Drosophila melanogaster: one gene and its partner. Changing the gene in region 1 together with any one later gene gives a genetic interaction. Each region holds a gene or a part of one and is shown on either strand. Other genes may lie near its edges. The genes, in order: bun and upd3.

Evidence for each region.
Region 2: of bun (region 1) and upd3, changing one suppresses a phenotype caused by changing the other (phenotypic suppression), as found in Drosophila melanogaster (one study listed by BioGRID).

The regions. Positions count from the first base shown.
Region 1 is NT_033779.5:12,541,826-12,551,977, forward strand, and holds the start of bun (bunched), read right to left. Parts: upstream 4,787-10,152; 5' UTR 4,585-4,786; exon of another isoform or gene 3,818-4,584; intron 2,519-3,817; exon of another isoform or gene 2,115-2,518; intron 1,774-2,114; exon of another isoform or gene 1,351-1,773; intron 1-1,350. UniProt on the Drosophila melanogaster protein: Probable transcription factor required for peripheral nervous system morphogenesis, eye development and oogenesis.
Region 2 is NC_004354.4:18,272,024-18,285,229, reverse strand, and holds upd3 (unpaired 3), read right to left. Parts: upstream 7,998-13,206; 5' UTR 7,628-7,997; coding exon 7,625-7,627; intron 5,797-7,624; coding exon 5,347-5,796; intron 5,245-5,346; coding exon 5,047-5,244; intron 1,834-5,046; coding exon 1,279-1,833; 3' UTR 634-1,278; downstream 1-633.

The DNA of each region.
Region 1 (10,152 bases):
CTCGCTCATTATTTAATCGATTTCGTTTACGGAAATCAGAAATGAGTCCGCTAACCAAAGAGATAGAGATAAAAAAGGCAACCCACAAAATGATTCGCGAAAAAAAATGTTGCCGAAAAAGTTTTGCAAACATTTTCGGGCACACGCGCCGTTTTTTCCGCACTTGTGTTGGTTAATAACCGTAAGCTTTTCGACGATCATTCATAAATTGCGTGGACTGTTTAGAAGAGAGTGTACTTGTGTGTTTAAGTAAAGTGGGCCCTCGATAAGGATTCTTCATAATTAACCATCGTTTTTTAAATTTTAGAAAATTTGAATTAATTTTTTTTTGGTCTTAAGCAAAAATAAGAAGATCAAATTGAATATTCAATATTGAGTCATTAAAGCAATATCTAAATATACAAAACAATATCTTTCATACAACGGTTTTGTTTAGAGGGACATTTTGTTGACCTGAATACTAAACTTATATAATAATTCATATATAGACTTTTGAGTGATTACTGTAGTGGCGTTTGAACTCTGCGTTTGCCCTGCCAGAAGGCAAAGTCAAGACCTTGACGCTGCTCTTTTATTCTTTCTCTCTCGCTTAATTTTGTTTTATTTCTTTTGCCTAATCGAGTTATAAACGACGCAAAAAAATCTGATTATTCTGTGGCTAGGAGAGTCGAAAAAAAGAGACAACCAACAAAACCAGCAAACCAGAAGAACAACTGAATAACAAAAAATCAGTTATAGGTCAACATTGGTCGTAGCACTCTCTCAAGGTGGGTATTTTTGTTTTTGTTTTTTTTTTTTAGTTTTTTGGCCTGCTGTTTGTTGGGGGTTTAAGAGTCTATTGGCCTTGTTCTTGAGCCACGCAGGTGTTGGCCCAAAGCTTCTTCTTCAACTTAAGTTGATTTCGAATATAATTTGAGGGAGTAAAGTTGTGGTAATTGGGCATCAGTTGTTATGAATGAAAACCAATAGCTCTTTAGAATGGATAATTAATCTAGACGAAATTGGCTCAATTAGAGAATTTAATCCATTGAAAAAGCGCACACCCAAACCGAACCAGAATACCCAATTCATCAAGAACCACTGGAAGTGGAGTATCCATTCTTGTAACTCATCTTCTGGACAATAAACTTGGGACCCCTTTTAACCCCCCGGCAGTCAATAATCAAAGTATCGCTGTAGGCACCAGATTTCGCACACAAACAAATCGGCGAATGGAAAGGAGGAGGAGGAGGACTTCTGCCTCTGCTCACTGCCTTCCTCAATAGCAAAAGCAACAACAAGGAGATGGGGTGAAAAGAAAATGAGAACTAAAAGTGCAGACAAGAAGCAAGCAACAGAAGAAGAACTAATTGCAACGACAAAGCATAAAATCGATGGCAAGCCAACAACAACAAATGTAATGAAAAGCAACTACAACAGATAGTACAGAAAGAGGCAAGCGCGAGCGAGAGAGAGTGAGTGTGAGCGAGCGAATGCGCGTTGAGAAAATTGCAATCGGAGAGCGGGAGCTGCAAGAGAGCGAGAGCAGCCTGTTGGCCCCTCCGCAACCGCATCTACATCCACATGCTCCTTCCTACCAACGTGGGCGCCTACAAGTGGGCGGGACGGGGTGGGGGCCGCATACCAAACAAACCGCAAAAGGAGAGCGGCTGCTCGCTCGCACTCTCCCGCTCTCGGACAGCTGCCGGTAATCAATATTGATGATGATAGCAGCAGCCGAAGAAGATGAAAAGCAAAAGGAAAGGTGTCCCGATTGTTCGCAGTGCATCAAAGGTAAGCCAGGATATATTGCCAATACAAAATACGGTAATAAAATGCACTGCTGCTTTCTCAGCTAAACCATCAAAACCTTATCAAGCCCTACTAAACTTTAAGACTATCGGTAAAAACAAAAACGAAAATGGGATATAACAAAAAAGGCCTTTAGGAGCAAAAAATAGAAACAAAAAATAAATGGGTTATCCTCTAAAAAATCCTCTAAAAATTTATACCTTGCTGACAGATATAAAACTGAACTTTAAGGACACCAGGGTGTTAAATAATGCATAATGAAAATTCAACCGAGTTAATAACTTTTCAATCAGTGACTTTCCTTTCCTGTCTTTCACCCACAGGCACTTCCCACCTTTTCTTCGCTCTTTTCCTTTCCGCAAGGAAATGATTCACAATGCAAAAAAAATGGCAAGGGAAAAGGAAAAGAAAAACGAAGGCGTTGTAGGAGGAAGTAAAAGAACCCGAAAGAGCGAGAGAGAGCGATGTATGCAGAGAGAAGGCAATGAAAATGTTTATCAAACGAGAAAAGAGCAGCGACGAAGATGAGGAGGAGGCGGCTGCAAAAGGAACAACAACAAGCTAGAGATTACAATGACAATGCATCCATGAGATACTCAGATACAATTGAAATCGAATATAATTTCTCAATTGAATTGAGTCGCAGAATGTAAATAAAGCAACAAGACATCAAAGAAAATTGGTGCAAATAGGTGTTAAATGTACCGAAAGTGACAATACCCTAGATAAAATAATTAGTTATTTTTTTATGATGGTTTCATTCAAAAAGTTAACCAGTTGTTGAAAGATTGGTACTTTTCCGCTAGCAATCAACCCCGAAATTCCTACATTACAAAAAAAAATGAACTGATTGAATTCTGGTTTGGTCGACGTGACTGTCTGCACACGCATTTCTTTTATGCAGATAGATCCCTGTTCAAGAAACCCCAGCTTATTTCTTGCAACTTCTTGATACCGATACCTATGAAAGTAACTCGCAAAACAATCCAAACCTTTCTGAGTTTGTGCCATCGGTTGTATCAAAGAGTTGGCAGAAATCTGAAGTGTATCCGATTCCTAAACGCAAATATATCGTCCAGTTATAGTTACAAAATGGTGCATGGTAAGCAGAAAAATTTGCCACGCGGCTTGACAAGAAAACCGATCTGGCCTGAGGTTTATTTTGTTTTGCTTTGAAATCGGAGATGCGTTAAAAGGGATGATCATTATGATCGTGAAGATATTGTAGATTGGTTCAAGGGCATTCAAAGCTAATCAGATTTATTCATTTCAAGTTTGTATAAAAAGGGTACTCATACAGAGTGAATTTCATATTTTAGTTCATAAACTAGAAATTAATATTCTCAGAAATGCTGGTTGGTTTTTGCAAATCTACTATTATTGCACACCGCTGTTATTAAATACGTATCCATAATTCTAAACACTTGTGTGTAATTCGAGTTACCGTTAACCAAACAGAACACACAATTTTTTATATGAATTTCTACTAAAAATCACATATGAAAAAAAAATTACCCCATAATATCGGATGGCAAATAAGCAGAAAATTGCAAAATGGCACAAAAACAAAACTAACACTTGACTAAACAATCAAGGCGAAGCAGAACAGAAAATAAACAACAATGCCGGGCCAGCTGACATTATAAACAAAGGTAAATGGCACATAAAATACAGTAGAAAACGAAGGAATATTGGAGTTAATCAAATGCTTGGCCAGCTGTTTTGGAGAAATGGGAATGGAAAGAGGAAATGGGAAAAATCTAAGGTACAAAGTGCAAGCTGCAACAACAACTGAGCGAAAGTGAAGAAGCAGACCAAAAGGATGGGCACACACGCTGACACACACACACACACACACACCAACAATTACGCGACTGTTTTGCACTTTTGTTTCATTGAATTTCTCTGATTTTTCCTTCGTTTTGAAACATGTTTCGATTTGCTTTGCTTTTTTATTGGTTACTTTCTGATCGATTTGTTGCACTAAGAGGCAAAGGCCTCTCTTTTACATTTTTACCACACTTACGCGTATGTCAAACAATTTAAAATTACTTGTTTCTTGGCGTAAAACAATAAACTTAAAACAAGCGAACGGCCACGAATTTAATTTGGATGGGATATTAGTTTTTCGTTGCGTTTTGCTAATCGGACAAAAGGAAGGTAAATGACAGTTTTGACACTTGGCTGTGCACAAGCAAAAAGCGGAGAGCACTGCGAGAGAGTCGATTCGGAGAGCGAAAAAATGAGTGAGAGAGAGATGGAGAGAGAGAGAGAGGAATTAAATAAACGAAAAAGCGTGCATGAAAAATTGGCGAAAAAAGTTTTGTGCAAAAAAAAAAAGCGAAACGCCGAACTGCGGAAAGCAAACAATCGAATTCAACATTTTTTGTGCAAATTTTAACGCCAGGGAATTTTTTTCTTTTTAGTTTTCCTGGCAAAGGCGGCTCACACCCACACATACACAAACTCTCTCTCTATGTCTCTCTTTCGCTGCCACTCTCTTCAAATCTGCAGAGAGTCGGCAATCCACAATTTTTCGTTCTTTCGATTTTGCACATCTCTCCGCTTGTCACTTTACTTTTCGCAGCTCTTTGGCTTTTTGCAAATAAATTAATTTTTCAGCGCACATATAAATTTTCCATCAGTGCCATTTGTGCTCCGTTTTCTTATTCAATTTACACGCACACACAGCCGCAGCAGCAGCGCACACACATCTCTACATCTGCATGCCAGCTCGCTCACACACACAGCGACGCACACGTCACACTCATACACTCACACGCACGCACATACACAGTTTTTTCTTCGATTTTGCGCTAGCTCTCGCAGCCTTTTTTCGCTTTTCCTCGTCGTTTTCAAGGGCGCCGCGAGTTAAGCGATTTTGCAATACGTTCGCGGCGCGTTCGATTTGCGTTCTTTTACTTTTTATCCGTCTGCAGACAGCGAAAAAGACCAACAACTTGCCTTGCGTTTTTGTCCCAACTCAAAATGCCAATAAAAATATAATATCAAATAATAATACCAAATACTGAATACGGGATTTTTGGCACATATAGCGGTCACACTATACTGTTCAAAACTGATATTTTAGCATTTTTTGGTTTGGTTCTGTGCTAAATACAACTATCGATTGTTAAGTTCTACACGCAGGCGATTGTCGTGCGATATACGATATCGTTTACATATCGTTTAGAAATCCCTAGCGCAACATTGGCGCTCGTTTTTCCATTATTCGAAAATGAATTTAACATAAAATTAACATATACTTTAGAACTAAGTTATACTAAGGCGAGTGGCACAACTCTACTTTTATTTGATTGTTTTAGGAATCATTTTTGTATATAATGGGCTTATATAATGTCGATAATAAGTTCTGGTCAAAAATCGGACTATTATAAATTTTAATTATATTTATATTTAATATCATATCATCTATAATTATCATATAATATAGTTAAATTTTTTATTAGCAAAATAACTGCAGTAGTTACTCTTTTTGTGTCGAAATCACTGAAAAAATCGTTAAACAGATCCCGCGTCGAAGTACCGAACCAACAATTTTACATTTACATATATTTTACATTGGTTCGCTTCTTTGCTTTGATTTAGAAGCGAATTTCAACGAATCTAAGCGAATTCAAACGACTAAAATTCGATTGGTAAATCTTTATAAAAATATATGTAACAAATAATTTGAATCATTAAGAAAATTAATACCTTAACAATGCTTAAATTTGTATACTTTACTTGTTTTTATAAACAAAATAGATACATAGAACTGGCGCTCAGTTTTCTATTTTTTCTATTAAATTTTTCTATTGATGTTTATTAAAGCTTAAAAATAAACATAAATTATTGCCAGTAATTATGTAACTGCTTTTGAGCATTTCCTGTTCTAGCGCTAAGACTTCTCAAGAAAGTTTTGTGGAGTAACAGGTATCTGATAGTCGCACTGCTGCTTGTTACCTTCTTGCATTTATTTAACTCTTTGGTTCTTCTTTTAATTAAGTACCTTGCTGATACTCTGCTTGCTAACTTTAATCAGTTAAGACTTTAAATATATTCAACTCTTACCAACTTTCTTAAGCTGGCTAACGGGTATCTAATAGTCACACCATTCGACTAAGACATTCCTTTTTTCTTTTTTTTTTCGTCCTGATGGAGTTCAGTGAAGCGTTCTGATTTTCTTGTCAAAGCGGAAAGAAATCACGCTAATGATCGACGCACCCTCCACCAATTGAAACTCCACTAAGGAGTTCTATATATGTACATATGCATGTATATACAATTATATATATATTTATATAGTATATCGCAACTGACCACTTCGTTCGCAACGGAACGTGTTCGGGATTAGAATTAATTCCACTGACCAGCCCCGCCCCGCCCCGCCCACTTTCACACAGCGACTGCAGGCGACACCCTCGCATTTGGCCAACGTCTCATTTAAATTGCAGCAGGCAGGAAAAACATTTGGCAAACATTTTTCGCCCCCCAAAAACTGCCCCTTTTTTCGCTTGTGGCATTCAAAGGTTTGACGATTTGCCGTACATGTTTGGTGCGTAATTAGTGCAGACCGATGCGTTGCACCCTTGTGAAATGCCAAAAGTCCTGCGATCCACTCAATCGTGCTCACTGGCATTTTTTCCTTTTCTTTAACAATTTCCATTTGATTGCATTCGTGGGGAAGAAAATGCTGGCTCCGGCATTCATTGGGGTGACCAACGTTGGCGGGCTTAACTGTCATTTCCATGAGATGCCCATTTGGTCAAGCACACACTGAGCGAAAAAGGTTAAAAAATTACATATGTATATTTTTTTGAAATTGTTTTAATTTTTCTGTATTGAAAAATAGATAATATATAATAACTCATGTTATTTCAGATTATGATAAAACGAAAATAAGTTCTAGATTCTTTTTTGTGACTGTGAATTTTTCAATTACACAGTTTACATAGTTACATAGTATATTGCTTTGCCTGTGAAGTTTTCATTTCTACGATTTGTGATTCGGAGTATAAATATTTTTTTCTTCTGTGTAGGTGGAAATACACAACTCCGTTGGCAGCATACACATCCCCAACGCATATGCAAAACTTTTGCGTTTCATTTGAATTTCCCTCTCTGCGTATGCCACATCGTATCCTCGCATCCTCGCACTTTCTTCTCATTTCGCTGCCCGTAATTATGAAGATGAATGTCCTTATTGCTTTTATATCCCTTTTGCGTGTATGTGAGTGCTTTCAGTATATGTGGTTGAGTTTAGCCGCCGACATTCTCTATTAATAATGCTTTCAGTCACACTCTGCATACAAGTTCGTTTGAATTTGTTGCCATTTGGAACGTTGGCAGTTGCCTGGGTACTGCACAGTGGGGCAGAAATGTTATTAATGTTGTAATGTAAATGTAATGTTCTTAATTTTATCTTAATTTAATTTGGTTTTTATAATTTTTCTGAATAGATACTACTGGTTAACTTCAAATATAATATAGTAGGAAATTATCCCTAAGTTGTTTGTGGTATTGGACTTGATGGGAGGTATTTCCTCTTATTTCTCTTACTTTCAAAAAATCTGGGATAAAATGGCTTTTGTCCCACTGTGCCGCAGGAGCAGCGCGTGCAACGTGCCACGCCTGCCTGCCTCCCACGCATCTCGTTTTCTTTCGTTTCGCCGACGGCCGTGGCAATAATAAAGGAAAATCCGACAGGATGCTAATGCGTATTTAGTTATTTAGTTTGTGTGTGTGTGTGTGTGTGTGGGAGAGGGGGAGGGGAGGCTAAAGGACACAGGACTCGCCACATTTATGTTTGTTTTACGCGCGTGTGTGTGTGTGGGGGATGCAAAAAATATTTGCATATTATCGATTTTAGTTGCCGATGGAGTGGGAAATAGTGTACAGAGAAAACATAGCATCCGAAAAAAAGGAAGAAATATCCTTAAAGCACATCAAACAGGCTCATCTTACATTTATAGAAACTTAAGGACATTTAAGTAGCTTAGCATAGAACTTAAACCGATCAATTTGAGTTTCGAATGGCGAACGAAATTCGAAACTGAATACAAAACGTGCTGGGCACACACCAAAATGGCCGAGGTCCTTTAAGGACCATAAGCGGATTTCAACAATTTAAGCAAAACATTTTTTTTTTAGAGCGCAAAATGTCAAACGTAAAGGCGAAAGCGTCCAATTAGATGGCTCAAAAACTTTCCAATCAACCCTCACGAATTTGTGCTGCCGGGGGATGAGAGAGTCCTTACCAATATCCTGCGGCCAGTGCAAGAAAGAAATTATAAACAGTAATGAATTGTAAATTGAGTTGATATTGTAAGAAAATTAGTCAGTGTAAAGAAATGCAATTTTCGTAGAAAAACTACAAATCAAGCTATTAAAATAAGCAAAAAAATTAAATACGTGCAGCATAATCAACAAAAAACAAATATTTTTTCTTTCAAAACATATATATATATAATCCAATTCCCTGATTCCCGACAAGTAAACAAAAAACATATACGCGTATAAGCATTAATAACAATCCAATAGGATTTACAATGCATTGCAAATGTCATAAATATCAATATGAGCGACAGTTGACTATCTGCGTAGCTTTTTTAGATATAAATTTAATTTTAATGGCCGCAACGTCTAGGCAGGATAACATGAATGTCCTATTTAAAGGATTAGCCCATTGAGTTATGAGCCAAAAAAAGCCGAATTGCCACATTGCCACATAAAATATGTCTGCGTGAATTTGCTTTTTAAGTTAATTTTATTTTATGTCCCTTTGGCCAGCGGATTGTCCGTTGCGAAACGCGTTCCGTTTTTTTAATGGTGATTTATCTGGAAAGCGAAAGTGAAGGAGTTTACGGGGGCGTAGGCCTTTTGGGGATCCAGCGATAGCTTTTTTATGGCCAAATCCAGGCTGACAAATGGCCAAAGGACTTGGCCATTAGAGGCTGTTCAATCGCATTCGAATCTAACGTGTTACATATTAATTGCCCATAATTTATGACTAGCATTATGGAATATAACAACTTTTCCTGATTTGTGGAGCTCCCTTTCATTTTCAATGGTTTTCATTTTGCAGAACTAAATTAGGCGCACAAAGAAAAAAAACAATTTCAAAGCTCATTAAATGTTTCGTTTGCTCAGTATTTCTTTTTTTTTTGCCCAGTAGATCTCGTAGTGGATAAGTCTGGTCGGAAATTATGGCTAAATATTTTTGGCTATTTGGGGTTGTTTACCAGCCACACTTTTTCACCATACCATCCTATGGATATCTATCATCTGATTTTGGTAGGGGTTGACGGCTCTTGAGGGCGTGCACATAATCATAAGTGTCGCAATTGTTGAATGATTGCAACACGTAAGGCGCAACAAATTGTGCTTCATTGGGATCAAAATGAAATAGTTCTTTTGGATTTGATTCAAAATAATACAATTTTTTGAATAATTTTTAGCCTTAAAAATGCTACTAGTTAACCCATTGATGAACTAAATCTTACTTTAATTCTTCTTCTAATTAAAGTTGCGAAAGGTATTTAATGCATTGTGGCATACCTACTTGGATTCCCCTGAGAGACATACTCATCATCCGCTTCCGCATCGTATAAGTAATTTCCCTTTGACAGCCCGCCGCCTTCGCATTATGTTTTTATCTCGACACTTGGCAGAAATCTATTAGATTCTGACTCAGAGATCTGAGGACTCAATGCCCCCATCGCCAGTGCCAGGACACACTGCATCAATCCTGGCAGTGGCCATGCACGTCGCCTGCATTCGTAAGTCTGCGCATTTGTTTTTCCCTTTGTGCTGGGGTCTTTCATTCCGGTCTTCGTCTACATATGCACAATTAATATTCAAGCAACCGTTTCACCCCCCCCCCCCCCAAAGGACCTTCCGCAGGACCCATCTCCGATCTACACGGATTTGCCGGGCCTTCCATTGGCTTCACGCCCCGCCATTTGATGGGGTGCGAATTGCGATTCAGCAGGGTGCGATGCGACTTAACCTCAGTGTCCAAGGGAAGAAACTACTGGGGGATTGGAGTTTGGATTTGGTTTCGGGTCTGCAACATCCAGGGTCGCATTAAGTGTAGACATTATTCATTTTTGATGATGAATTTCCATGTCTCGCATGTCTAGGGCTTTTCCCTTGCCCATCGTCCAGTAATAAGTAATAAGTGCCGAGCGGCGCAAAAAGAGATGAGGGAAAAAAAGTGGAATATATATATATATACAATATAACCAAGTGGGGGAGGCACATGAAAAAACTTTTAGTTCTGTTGCTGTTTGGCATACAAATGAGTTAAACTTTGAATGGCAGTTGCCGGTGGGTTGAGGTCGGCCGGGGGGAGGGAGA
Region 2 (13,206 bases), on another chromosome or scaffold:
TGATTGTGTGCGATAAACCCGATTCGGGTACTCCGGCAAACCGCAGTGGAGAACATCAAAAATCCAGGGCTCAGTGAAGGTGCGCGCGTAGATTCCGGCCCAGCGATAAGGCCGGGAGAATTGGAGATCTGTGAAAGGAAGAGCCGAGAAGGGAGATTCGGGAACGGGGAATGGAGAATGGAGAATGGTGAATCAAGAGCGGCGACAAACATTTCTTGTCGTTAAATCGCTGGTGTTTTGTGTGCAGCTGACAAAAAGGGACAAAGGTGACCCCGACTCCAACTCCGACTACGACTACGACCTCGATTCCGATTCCGATCCCGATCCCGATCCCGACCCAAGCCAAAAACCCAAACCCAAAACCCAGGGGAGAGAATTATTATATGGCTCATAAAATATTTGAACAAGTCTATAAATGCCGCGTAATTCTGCTGCAATTAAAGCCACGGCGACGATCGTAAAGGGGAATTGTTTGGACACTTTTATGTCTCTCTTACATCTCATCCAGCACGGTGCGTATGCGCAATTTCGGTGGGAATATATCTCGTATATACTATACCCCCACACATGAGTGTAATTGATATGGCGCCAGGAGAGGACCACCCAATCCGCAGATAAACTCTCGATGCATTTGTACTTTCAATGGTTTGTATTTGTATATTTGTATATTTGTGTTTGTATTTGATGTCTAAAATGTTAATTCCTAATCAAAGCTAAGTTACATAGAGGTGTAAATCGTACATACATATATCAGTGTGTAAATATAGTCGGGGGAGATATATAGCTTGTGGCCGTCGCGGAGCGTTGTGTTTACTTTAATCATCTACTATCACAGCATCGTAATACAAGGCAAAGTATATCTAGTATACTTAGTATCTAGCGGAATGTGCGGCAGATTGTTGGCGAGTTGCAATAATAAATAATACAATGGGACTTAAAGCTATCAAAAAAAAAAAAAAAAAATAATAATAATAAATTTAGTCGGAGAAAACATTACTATCGTGTTAGAATATCGAGAAAACTGGGTATCTCAAATTCACGTCTGTGGTGGATTGTTCACATTACTTATTCGGTTTTTCATAGCCTTGTGATTGTCGGGGATTCCTCGTGATTTGTCGTGACTGGTGTGGCGTGGCGTGAGTAATAAATATTGGATGTTTAATAAATTAAGGATGTCTTCATGGAATGAGCCTCGTTGTGTGGAATGGAGGTTTCGCCGGTTCTGAGCTCTTGGCTATAGCTACTTTCTACTTTCTACTCTCTGCTCTCTGCTCTCGTCTAGAGTTTCTTCTGGATCGCCTTTGGCACGTGGGTGGTCGCCTTGCACAGACTCTTACGCTGGTTCGCGAGTATCTTGCGGATACTCTTGAGATACTGCACAAACTTCAGTTTGGTGAAGAGGGCGTGCTGCTCCAGGACCATCAGGTCGTCGGGCGGTGGTGGTACATCCTCCCCGCGTGCGGCCAAGGTCGCCTGCTGGTGCAGCTCCACGAGTGGCACCAACGTCGAGTTGAACTGCTGCAGACGCTTCTCCATCAGCTTGCGCGGCAGTATCTTGTAGGTGACCACCGGTTGGGCCTGGCGCCGCTTCTTCTGGCCCCTCGGCTGTGGCGCCCGCTGCCTGTTGGGTGTGTACAGCAGGTTGGTCAGGTTGATGGCCTCCTCCACGCTGCAGAGCACCTCGCGGGCGGACTTCCGCATCCTTCCCAGCTCGTCGGAGAGCACGCTCTTCGCCTGCAGGTTGGCCAGGTCCCAGTGCAACTTGATGTTGCGCATGTACGTGAAGGCGCCCACGTAAATCTGCAGGTCGCGATGGGCGTGGCGAAGGTTCAACTGGAATGGGCAAGGAAAAAGATTGGAAGCGGGTTAGTTAAATTGATTTGTCAAGAAATATGAATACTATGAATGGGAACATGACTAATTGATAACTTTGATCTGCAATGAGAGGTTCTCTGTTGATAAGAATCTATGGATTCATATTTGTACACCCATTTTATATATACTAGTTTTTAGATTAAATTAAGTGCTCTATTTATATCATTAACTGTCCATGAACTTGTAAACTTATATATTCCCAACTTAATCATCATAGTTACCCCAACCCATATTGGAGATCAACTCCATAATCCTTGATTATATCAGCATAGAATTGAAAATAAAACAATTATATGGCAAAGTATGATATTTTTAAGTATTTAACGCCTTAATTACTTGTATCGCCATGAATGAAGGTCGGGGTTATCTTTATTGAATAAACCTTTTTCTGCACTCGCTTGCAATAAAAATCCCCAATTGTAAAATTAAAGTATTAGAAACGGCGAAACCTTGGCGGAAATTGCGATATCCATATCGCATATGGTGTATATAGTCGATCCTATAGTTCGAATTTTTTGGGTTGAGTGAACTGAGCCCACCAGCCCCTTTGCGGACCCCCCCCCCCCCCCCCTCCCATCGCACACACACTCCCCTCATCCCAACGACCAGAAACTTATCTGGCCGGCGGCTGAAAGTGAAAATCAAGCCGAACGCTCGCGCCGCTCTCTCGTAACTGTTTTTTGAGTTCTCGGCTACGCTTCGGCTGGCCGCTCGTGACGTCGACGTTGGCTCTTCGTTTCATTCATGTCGCGCTCGCCGCATGCCGCCGCTCACCCTTTCCCGCTCCCGCTCCCGCTCCCGCTCGCTCTCGCTGGAGTTTCGGGGGAATCCACGGCTCTGTTTCATATGAATCACATATCGCGTATACGCTCCGCGCCCCGTATCCCCCCGATCAACGACCACAAACGGCGTGTGTGTGTCATTTGCAATAAACGAGCGTTGTGAACTACTCAAACATATTATCGTTAAGGTCATTTCTTCTTCCGAACCGATCCGCTGCGGTATCAGCGAATTCGTTGTTTTCCTTTTTTTTTTTGGGTGGGTATGAGCGAATGCATGACGTCAAAAGGCCGTCGATTCTCGGTATCGAAACGATCCATCTAAATATAGAGTTCTTCTATCAGTCCCGTTTGCCACCTCGTCGTCGGATCGGGTTCCGATCTGGGGGTTCCGTTTCACTCTGTTCCGGGGATGTCAACAATTAGTTGGCACAATTGGCATTGACGTAGCCGATATTGGCCAAATATTGACACACATCCCGAGCGGCAAGTTCCCGAGCTTGGTGCAGAGTGAGAAAAGGTGGATCGACTGGTCGAATCGAGTAGTGTGTGATCAAAGGTATCTACTGAAAAACTCAACACGAAAGAGTACTTATAAGCAGCGAAGGCAGTCAATTGTTACCCTCATTTTCTCACAGTGTGATCCGCGAGGCCCAGGTACTTTTCCCAGACTATGACGACAATTGAGAAATTTCAGCGAAAGCCAAACTTTGCTCATCGCCCTGAATAGACGATTGAGTGGAATCGCTGGCTAAGTGAATGAATGGATGAAATGGAATGGCAACTATGATGGGACTGGCTAAGTTTAGCAGAACGGGTAATTAAAAAAAAAAATAAAAACCAAATTCCCAGGGGGTGGCGACCTTTGAGACTCCACTTGCACTCTGAACGCGACTTTTGGCTGACTCGAAGTGAGTCGGCGGTTTTCGCGGATCTTGACCACACTTGAGATTTTTCGCCGCACCTGCGATCTCATAAAAGTATCTGTTTATGGCCACGCCAAGTGAACTACACTCATCTGGTTATCTGCAGATATTACTGTCCTATACGAAACTTTCCCGGACACCAAGGAATTAGCACGTTGGGGCAACCAAGCCGATCTCGACCGATTCACGAAGCGACATCCACCTCATTGAAATGTGGACTAGACCCTTTCTAGTGCACGGCGTTTGTCATACTTGGTCACGTATCGACTGGTACTCCGTGGCAATCATTTCGCAAGTACCGCCATCCACATTCCGGAGCCCACATTCTATATTACTTCCATTACTTCCATTATTCACTGGCCTATCGGTCACTCCGGGTTTTTCCTCAACTGGTCTTGCTCATTTCACCGTGTCAGTGCGAAAATATTTCCGAATTCCCAGACCCCGACAATTTGGCATTACTAAACGGTTCCACTCTATTAACATCAAACTGTCCGCAACTCGAGGGTCTCGAAATTGAAAAGCTCCATAATTTTCCTCTCGCCATAATTCAGATGTCCGTGGCGAATCCAATTCGAAATTTGATTAGCTTCTGTTTGTTGTTGTTTACTTGTCAAAAGTGTAAATAAAATGTGCCGCTTGATTTTATTTTGTTTATTCAACAAATTATCCACTTCAGATACGAATTGAGATTCGGATTGAACTTCGTTTTCAGATTCAGATACAGCTTCAGCTTCAGCTTCAGCCTCAATTCGGATCGATCCAATCTACGGATTGGCCATAAAACGTGATCGCTGGATCAAGGCCGGTTTGGGGGGGATCGCGATGGATCTATATAAACAATAATCGAAAAAAAAAGCGCGCGCGCCGTCAATTTGCTCTTAATCTTAATGTGGTTATGGCATCGATTGCTAATGTTTTCCCTCGTGCTGTTGTTGTTTGCTACCAATGCAAATCGACGGTTAATGGGGCGTCCCGAAATGCCGGCTAATGCTGACAAAACGAACGAGGTGCGATCGAAAAGTTGGCGGCACTTAAGTGCTCAATGCAAGTTGCTGTTGGAAGTGTTGTCAAAACAACTCCATCATCAAGCTAGCACATATGAACTATATACATATCTCAATCTTTATTTCCTTAGTTTCCTTCATACCCCTCTATATAGATTGATAAATTCCCTTAATCACGCAAACAAACTATGGCAACAACTCTCGCGGCTGGCGGCACGATTCCCTCGGATTCGGACTCATATGACCGCTCCACTCGCCATTAGCTTGTGACGGCCTGTTTGCACCTACGCAGGTGAACGGGGCGAACGCCTCACGTGACCCTCTTTTTTATCACCTCAAGCTCCCTGGCAACAGAAGAACCCCCCGCGAGTGTTTGATGTTTGTAAATGATCCAGTAGTTCTTCACATGACGATATATGCATACATATATTATGCTTATGGCATATGGACGACACTCACCTGTTTGCTAGTGAGATTCAGACGGGGCAGGAATCTGTAGTTTCCCTTATAGAATCGCCACTTGTTCTTCTCGACAATGTCCAGAGTCTTGGTGCTCACTGTGGCCAGCTTGTCCGCATTGGTGGTGATCCTGGCCTTGTCCTCGGCCTGGATGCCCCGCAGCTCGCGGCCCGTTTGGTTCTGTAGATTCTGCAGGATCTGAAATAGATACAAATACATATATACATATAGATAATAGTGTGTGAATTAGTTGTGCCAATTTATTTATCAGCTAAGAGCCAACTTTCGCTTGAAACTTACCCTTTGGCGTTTCTTGCAGCGTTTCGCCTTGCTGTGCGTTTCGTTCAGACCCGTGGGCTTCAGATTGCAGGTGTTCTCCCAGTCCAGATGCGTACTGCTGGCATTCAATTTCTGCTGGAAGGTCAGCCGGAAGTTGGCCGCTCTGGAACGCTTCTGTAGGTGCTTCAGGGGATTGGTGGGATTGATGGGACTGGAGGGGCTGTCAGTGGGCGGGGTGGCCAGGTGACTGGGCGCCGCTGAGACGCCACAACCGCCGCCGGAGAGGGCAAACTGGGACATGGCCAAGGCGAGTAAGATCAGTGACCAGTTCCTGTTCAGGCGTCGTCGTCGATCCACGAACGGCGGTTGCGGCTGCGGTTCCACTGGATTCCTGGTTCTGGCCGTTTTGTTACCGCTCCGGCTACCGCTTCCGCTGCTCCTGCTGACGTCGAGCGGGCGGTCAGCTGTCGTCTGTGGATGGAAAAAGTTCCGAAATAAGCTAAACAAAATTTATACAAACACGCAAAGCCCTCAAGATAACACAGTTTCATTTTTTTCCCACCCATAATGGCTCGAGTTTCACTACGACTTCTTGACGTCACATCTTCGTCAGACGTCGTCGGTGTTTAGCATGAGAAAAGTCTAGCAACAGGTTATACTATTATTAGTTACCAAAAAAAAAAAAAAAAAAAAAAAATCAAATACGTATGTTCGATTTTCAGTTATTTACATACTCAAACTTTGGCCGAAAAGAGGGTTCGGTTGGCCAAATGTATTCCCCCTGCCGAGGGACCAATTACCATAAGTCAAGACTAACGGACGCTGCGCGGACAACTGAACTGAACCGACTGGTTATATATTATCTTGGCCAACTTTTGCCAAATATAAACCAAAATTCGCGCACGTGATGGTACGGATGTGTGATTGTGGTGCGATTGTTTTGTGTTATTTTGTGTGTGTTAGTGCCTGAGTGGGCGAATTATGATGATTGTTGGCTGCTTGGGGATTCCCGCTGGACGCACTTATGCGCAAACCCATACGCACACATATAAATATAATCGCAATTGTTTGGGGGGCCCGAAGCATGCGCGATTTGTTATTATTATCGTTTGCGCTTTAGCTACAGCTACGGCCATTGCTAGTGCCGTCTTTATCTGGCTGAAATAATTATTTCAAATTAAAAATAAATTTCTTTATTTAGCCAAATTATCATGAATCATCGTGTGTCGGGTGGAGGTCGACTTGCAAAGGTAGTGGTGATAGTGGTGCCACCGCACTGGCGGTGGCGGTGCTATCTCATATTGTCTGGTGGGGTAGGCTCCAATCGCTCCACACGCCTCCTACACATCGAGCAGCATGGTCAACGAAACATTGGTCTTGCAAACTTTTGTGAAATTCACTCTCTCTTGCCGTGCGTTTTCGCTCTCCGGCTCTTTATCGCGGTCCCTTTGCCCGGACCTTGTCCTCCTGTCTGTGCCGAATCGCTAACGCTTGTAGTGACAACCGCTGACGCATCCAATCTTCAATTCCTGCCAAACACCAGCAACACCAGCACCACCAGCACCACCAGCACCACCAGCACCACCAGCACCACCAGCACCACTGGCACCACCACCCCCGCGGCACGAAACGTGTAAATTAATTTCACATGTTTCGCTCTTTTTTTGGCCATTTTTCGTCAAAAGGGTTTTTTTTTACAGTTGCAATAACTATTAAGTTAGTTGCATAAGTTGTGTGGTTGAATGGAACAATAAGTTCCCAATAAGTTAGAATAGTAATAGCAAATAAATGCAAGTCGCCCCTGTACGATTAGTCATACTCATCCGAAAATAACGTCCATAGGTTTTCAAATAACTTTGGGTTTTTCATAATTGTAATAACTTTAAAATGCTATGATTCACATGTGGAAAAATGAACTTAACATATTGTGCATCATGAATTTATAACTTGTTTTCAATGCCTATCACCAAACAGTGTCAGTGATTCACGAATGAGTTTCCCCCATGAGAGGCTGGAGATGATGGTCCCTTTCGGTTGTGAGCCCTATCCCCATCTCCAATCCCTAAACCCATCACACCTCCTCCTTGGGGCCAATTTCATCATGTGTGGGGTACGTGACACCTCACCTGACCATTGCAGCTCTTGGCAAGAACTCTGCGGGTTCAGAAGTATCGAGCGAAAGACACCTGTACCTATCAACAAACCGAGCACGCACAGGTGAATTCTCTTATCGGCAGCAGAAAAGGCAAATATAAAATCCCCGAAAAAATACGCGCCTGCGGTAGTTACTTGTACTTACCATTTACATAAAAATCGTTGGCTGGGAATTCCGCACAAAAATTCGTACTTGATTGACACGCACTTTGCTTTTGTAACGCTGTTAGTCTTTTCTTTGTGTGTATTTGCCGGAAAGAAGCTTCCAGAATGCAACGGGGAAAAAAACGAAAAAAAAAACTAACCAATAATAAAAGCGATCGCGATTTGGCGAATTTGGCGAATCAGGCGAATCAGGCGACTTTGTCGAATTTGTTGAATTTGTTGAATTTGGCTGCGTATCTTTGTATCTTTATATCGCGGCTGGACGAACTATCGCGTTAAGTGTCGACGCGCTGCCTTCGACTGTCTGCTATGATTTGATTCCGATTCGATCGAAGTCGAAGTCAACAGCGCTGTCGATTTCTTGCCGCTGGAGAGCGTGGAGTGGAGTGTTGTGGAGTGGATTGGAGTGGCTTTCTCGCCGTCTTTGCGTTGTTTTTTTGTACAATTTTTGCAGTAGCGTTTCTTCACTTTTTTTTCGCCTTTTCGCGTGCAGTGGTTATGTGTGTATATATATTTAGTTTTTTGTTTTTGTGGCCGGCGGAGACTGACTGAACTCCTCAGTTACTATGAGCATACTAATGAGGAGGCGGACGCCCAGTCCGCCGGTCATGTTCGCTCCGCTCGAATCGCCAAAGAAGCGGAAGAGAGACAGGGAGAGGCTCTCTCGGCTGTCATGAGTGTGCAATCGCAAGAAAAGCGCTCAAAACATTCGCCGAGTGCCAAAAACAACGCGAGAAAGCCATAAAAAAGCACAGCTGAGCGATAAAAAAAAACAAAAACGACTCATAGCGGCTGGGTGTGGACAATGGGTTACCCTGTACCCAGGGTACTAGCAACTAGGAGCAATAAGATACGCTGAAGAAAGCATGGAAAAAAGCAGAAGAAAAGTATAACTTTAACTAACTTTAGTTAACTTTAATAATACTAAATATGAGAGATAACATCTAAACTAGGCAACAACAAGTACAATCATCCAATAGCTATTCGATTGAGACCAATATTTGGTTAGTGAACTAGTAACAAATGTCATAAATATTCTATATTACGGCCATTCCGAACATAATAGATTTATTACCAATATTACCCAGTCGTAATGGGCGTGAAAAATACAAACGTTTAGTGAATGATTAGGCCAGCTAGATTTCAACACGATGAGAAATACTCACAGCTCTCCAGCGCTCCCCTTTGGGGGATGACACATAATCGGCGCACTGGAGTGGAGTGATTGATCGATTCGTCGACTGGGCCGATCTCCACCAGATAAGGTCGCTGGGAGAGCTATTCACTGTCTCTCCCGCTCGCAGATAAACAAAACATGTGTAATTTGCCTATTTGCCGGTCTCTGGGGAACGAAATGAGCGGCTACTTGGCTCTTATCGAATGACTTTCACTCGGCACACACTTCCGATTCACCGTTTCTCCGGATCTCCCGTTCTCCGATTTCGATTCCGAGACGATCGTTTCCGATCCGAAGCGAAACGATCCATTCCGTTCCGTTTTGTTCCGTTCCGAAGTAACCCCCGCAAATAGTCGGCAATTTATGGGGGTTGGCATGAATTTCAGTTATTTCCGTTCAATTTCACAAGAATATTACTCATACGCTCCGTCGGCCGCCGACAGCCGTCAATGACGACACGATTTGTTCAACCGCGAGCCGGGCTCTCACGCTCGCAGACACGGCGATTCATTCATGATTGCCGACTACGCTCCACCGGTCGACAGAATGCGGATGCCGAGAGGGGGTAGGCGCAACTGCGGGGTGGCGGTCTAAATTTCACCGCGCGCCAAAACCATGATCAATCGAAAAGTAATTGAGCACTCATCGTTACTCATGGCCAAAGTGGCGACGTCTCCGTTTTGTCGTTTACCGTTTACGGTTCACGCTTTGCCGCGTACCATGTACCGTGTACCGCTCACTGCCACTGCCACTCCCACTCGCCGTCGGCCGCCCAACGCCCACCGCTGGCGGCCAAACTTACGGATGGTGATCGGTGTCATGATTTGGCCGAGCTATTTTTAAACCATTGTACGAGGCACACTGGTACGGATCGGGTAACTGCTGCTTTTGATTTCGGCTTATCGTGTTGATCTGTCCAATTGGCGGATATTTCGAATTCGATTCAATTTGATTCGACTCGCTGCGAATTGACCAAAATTGGCCGTGTTTGCGGTATCTATATATATTATATGTATGTATATTATCGCAATCCAATGATTGTCTGTGCCTGCCATTCGGTGGCGTTAGTGTAAAACCCTAATGGCTAATGCATGACAATCGATGACGATGACTGGGGTGCCAGCGGCGGTGGCGTATGAGTAATATTTTTGACGTCTTTTGCCGCAATCATGTGAGACACGCGTGCGGCACATGGGGAAACTCTCGAGACTGTATGAATGGAAATGGAAATTGATTGGGATGTAGTGGAAACAATTTGCGGTTGGGGTGGAAAATTATTATTTTTTTTTTTTTTCACTTCGAAGGGGAAAAACTTGAATGAACTTTGGCTTGACTGGCAGTGTGCATAGTACGTAGACACGTACATAAGCTAACTTGCAATTTTCGAGGGGAAGAACTTTCTCGTTTTACATGTGGAACTAATTAATTACACTGGAAAGCGATCGAAATGCTACATTCTAAGTGGCTCATTAGGTGTATTTCGCGATTGAGCGCAATGGGTATGCTAATGTGCTTCGAGAACGATTTAATTTGGTGGAAAAGTAATCTTGAAATTTTCAGCACATTCAATTGGGTAGCATTCTATCATTTGATTCGGTGAAGCACAACTATACACTAGATTTTCGTAGAATCCCAGGTACAAAAGCCTTGGGAAAATTTCCAAGATATTCATAAGTTTCTATCAATACTTTATATAATTAATATGAATTATATTAAATATCTTCATGGGCATTAACTGAATTACCCGGAGTTTTTCTTTCGTGCAACATGCTGTTGTATAGTCATAGAAGATTCCACTGACCTACATACACGAACTTCCGGCGAGTTCTTCTGATAAGATCAGCTATAAATTGTGTTTTATAGTGCGCCGCGTCAAGTGTTAGCCATTTTATCAAATCGCACTCGAAATGAGTGAGCATAGAAATCATTTCGTTTTTCGGCCATGTGAAAATTCCCCAATAATGATATAATGTCTATCGCGATTGCAATCTTTAGAAATTTCTTGACTAGGCGGTGATAAGACAGCCGCAGAGAACTTTGAACCCGCGACCGTCGGCGAGATGCTGCCAGATGCCAGCTCATCGCGAGGAATTTGAGTTGGCTGTAACCGCATAATGCTAATTTATTGTCCAATCGATTTGAAACAGCAACTAAAGGCTGCAAAGTCAGAGAGTCAGGAGAGCGAAGCAGCGGTGAAAGTGAGTCATAAAAGCAGCGAAATCGCGGGGCCAGAAAACAATGCCAAATATTTTACGGCTAATGAAATTGGTTGCAGTGTCGCAGGGGCGATGGCTCTTGGCTTTTTGCTTGATTTTCCTCTTGTTTTACTCATCGTTCTACGCGCACTCGTTCACTAACTACAATAGTTCATTGATAGTCGCTACACGAGCACCACGTGGCGTATGAGCAATTTGCAATTGCAGATTAATAGCTGGCCGTATTGATACTTCCTGCGCAGAGATGGGGCTGGGCAAAGGGGGGCCAGGGGCATCGCGGGGCCTTTAATGCCCGCCAATTTGGGGGGATACCACACGGCGGTTTTCATCTTTGCCGACCCAACGAAATTTAAAAGTTTCACACATAACAAAGTGCGAAGGATGCAGTCAAAAGAGCCCAAAAAGAGCCAAACTTAATTAGCGCCCATTGCAAAAATATTTACGGCAAAACAAAATAACACCCATTAAGGCAGACCCGGCGGGGGCAGAGGCTTCCCAGGGGGGGCGGGCGGTTGGCCAAGCGGGCACAGGGGGCGGAGTGGCAGAGGGGGGGCGCAAATGCGTGATGATCACCGGGTAACGCCCCTCGACAAAGCCCCAAAAACGGAGCCACAGCAGCAGCAGCAGCCACACCACCACCAGGAGCATTGGCCGAGGGGAGGGTGGCGGAGATATGGAAGATGGATGCATATGGAGCGACCATCAAAGGCACAGTGCACTGCGAGAAATGGCGCGCTACACAACATTTACTTATGAATAATATAATATGAATTTATAGCCTTTCAAATAGCTAGTAACTTATAATATTTAACTAAATATATTTATTATTGTGAGCCCATCTTTTCATCAAAGTATTTATTTAATAATTTATCGTACCTAACACACGATTTAATACAATATATATATATATAAATCCATAATTTGTTTTAACCTATGCTATTAAAAGCAGTCCCCCGTTTTCTCGCCGTGCTGCGGCCAAGGAAGCGGGAACCGGCGACTCACACTCATCCATGGGAGGTGCAAACGCCTCAACGCAGCGCGATTTGATCCCAGCCGATCCATGGCAGCCCAGCCCATCCGTGCTCACGTTCTTGGCCATGGCCCGTCATTATGAGCCGTCACCTTGTTGTGTAGACATTGGCCATGGCCACCGCACAGACGCAGACAAAGATGGAGCCGGTCGGCGGCTGGTGGATGGTGGATGGTGGATACTGGATGCTGGATGCTGGATGCTCGGTGCCGAATGCCGGTGCCGAGTGCTGGATACTGGATGGTGGATACTGGTGCTGGATGGTGGTCGACGATCGGCGGTCAGAGGGGATGCAACTGCTAATCCGGTTCGACTGCGGCGGCGGCGGCAATCGCTGGAGTGAAATCAACTCGTTAACTCGTTACCAAAACTGATCCCATTTAGCGGCGGCGCATCGCGAACCGGCGCCAGTCGCACAGCCCCGCGGAATGCCCTACACCGATGGGGAGTCTAGAAGATTGGGGATTAGCTGCATGGCTTGGTATGGGTTTTACCTCAAGATTTATTTTATATGAATATGTCAGCTTTGCTTGTGGTTAACTACAATAACATATTTAAACAGATTATACCACCAAATATTTATAAATATTTTTGATATATAACATTGAAGATTAACTTATTTTATGAAAGGGTATTTATTTCATATTGCATATTCATACTGTTAATGAAACCCATAAGGAATACCAAGTAGCAGGGTATTCGATGTACCTTTAAGACTGGCCAAAAGTAGCGAACAATGCGGTCCAGGGGGCGTGGTGAGCGGCGGGGGCTCGGGGGCAAAAGGTGGAGCCTTAACTTTGACTTTAGCTTTGGCTCAGGCGCATTCGCGTCATCAGCATCATCATCGCCAACACCTTCATCATTATCGGCGGTGTCGGCGTCTAACCCATATGCCCATGCTTAACCCATACCCATGCTTAACTCCGCATACCCAGATCCATGCCCATATCGCCCAAGGCGGTGGCTGCTGCTGTGGCAGTGGCGGCGTTGCTCTCTCATCGTCGTCCGCCAATTGCCAGATCCCGAAGTCAAAGGGAGCGAAGGATCCTCAGTGCCGTTGCCAGTCCCTCCAGATCCCGTCCGTAGGTGGCTGTGATGATATACTTTGCCTGCCTGTTTGGCTTAGCTGTTGAAAATGG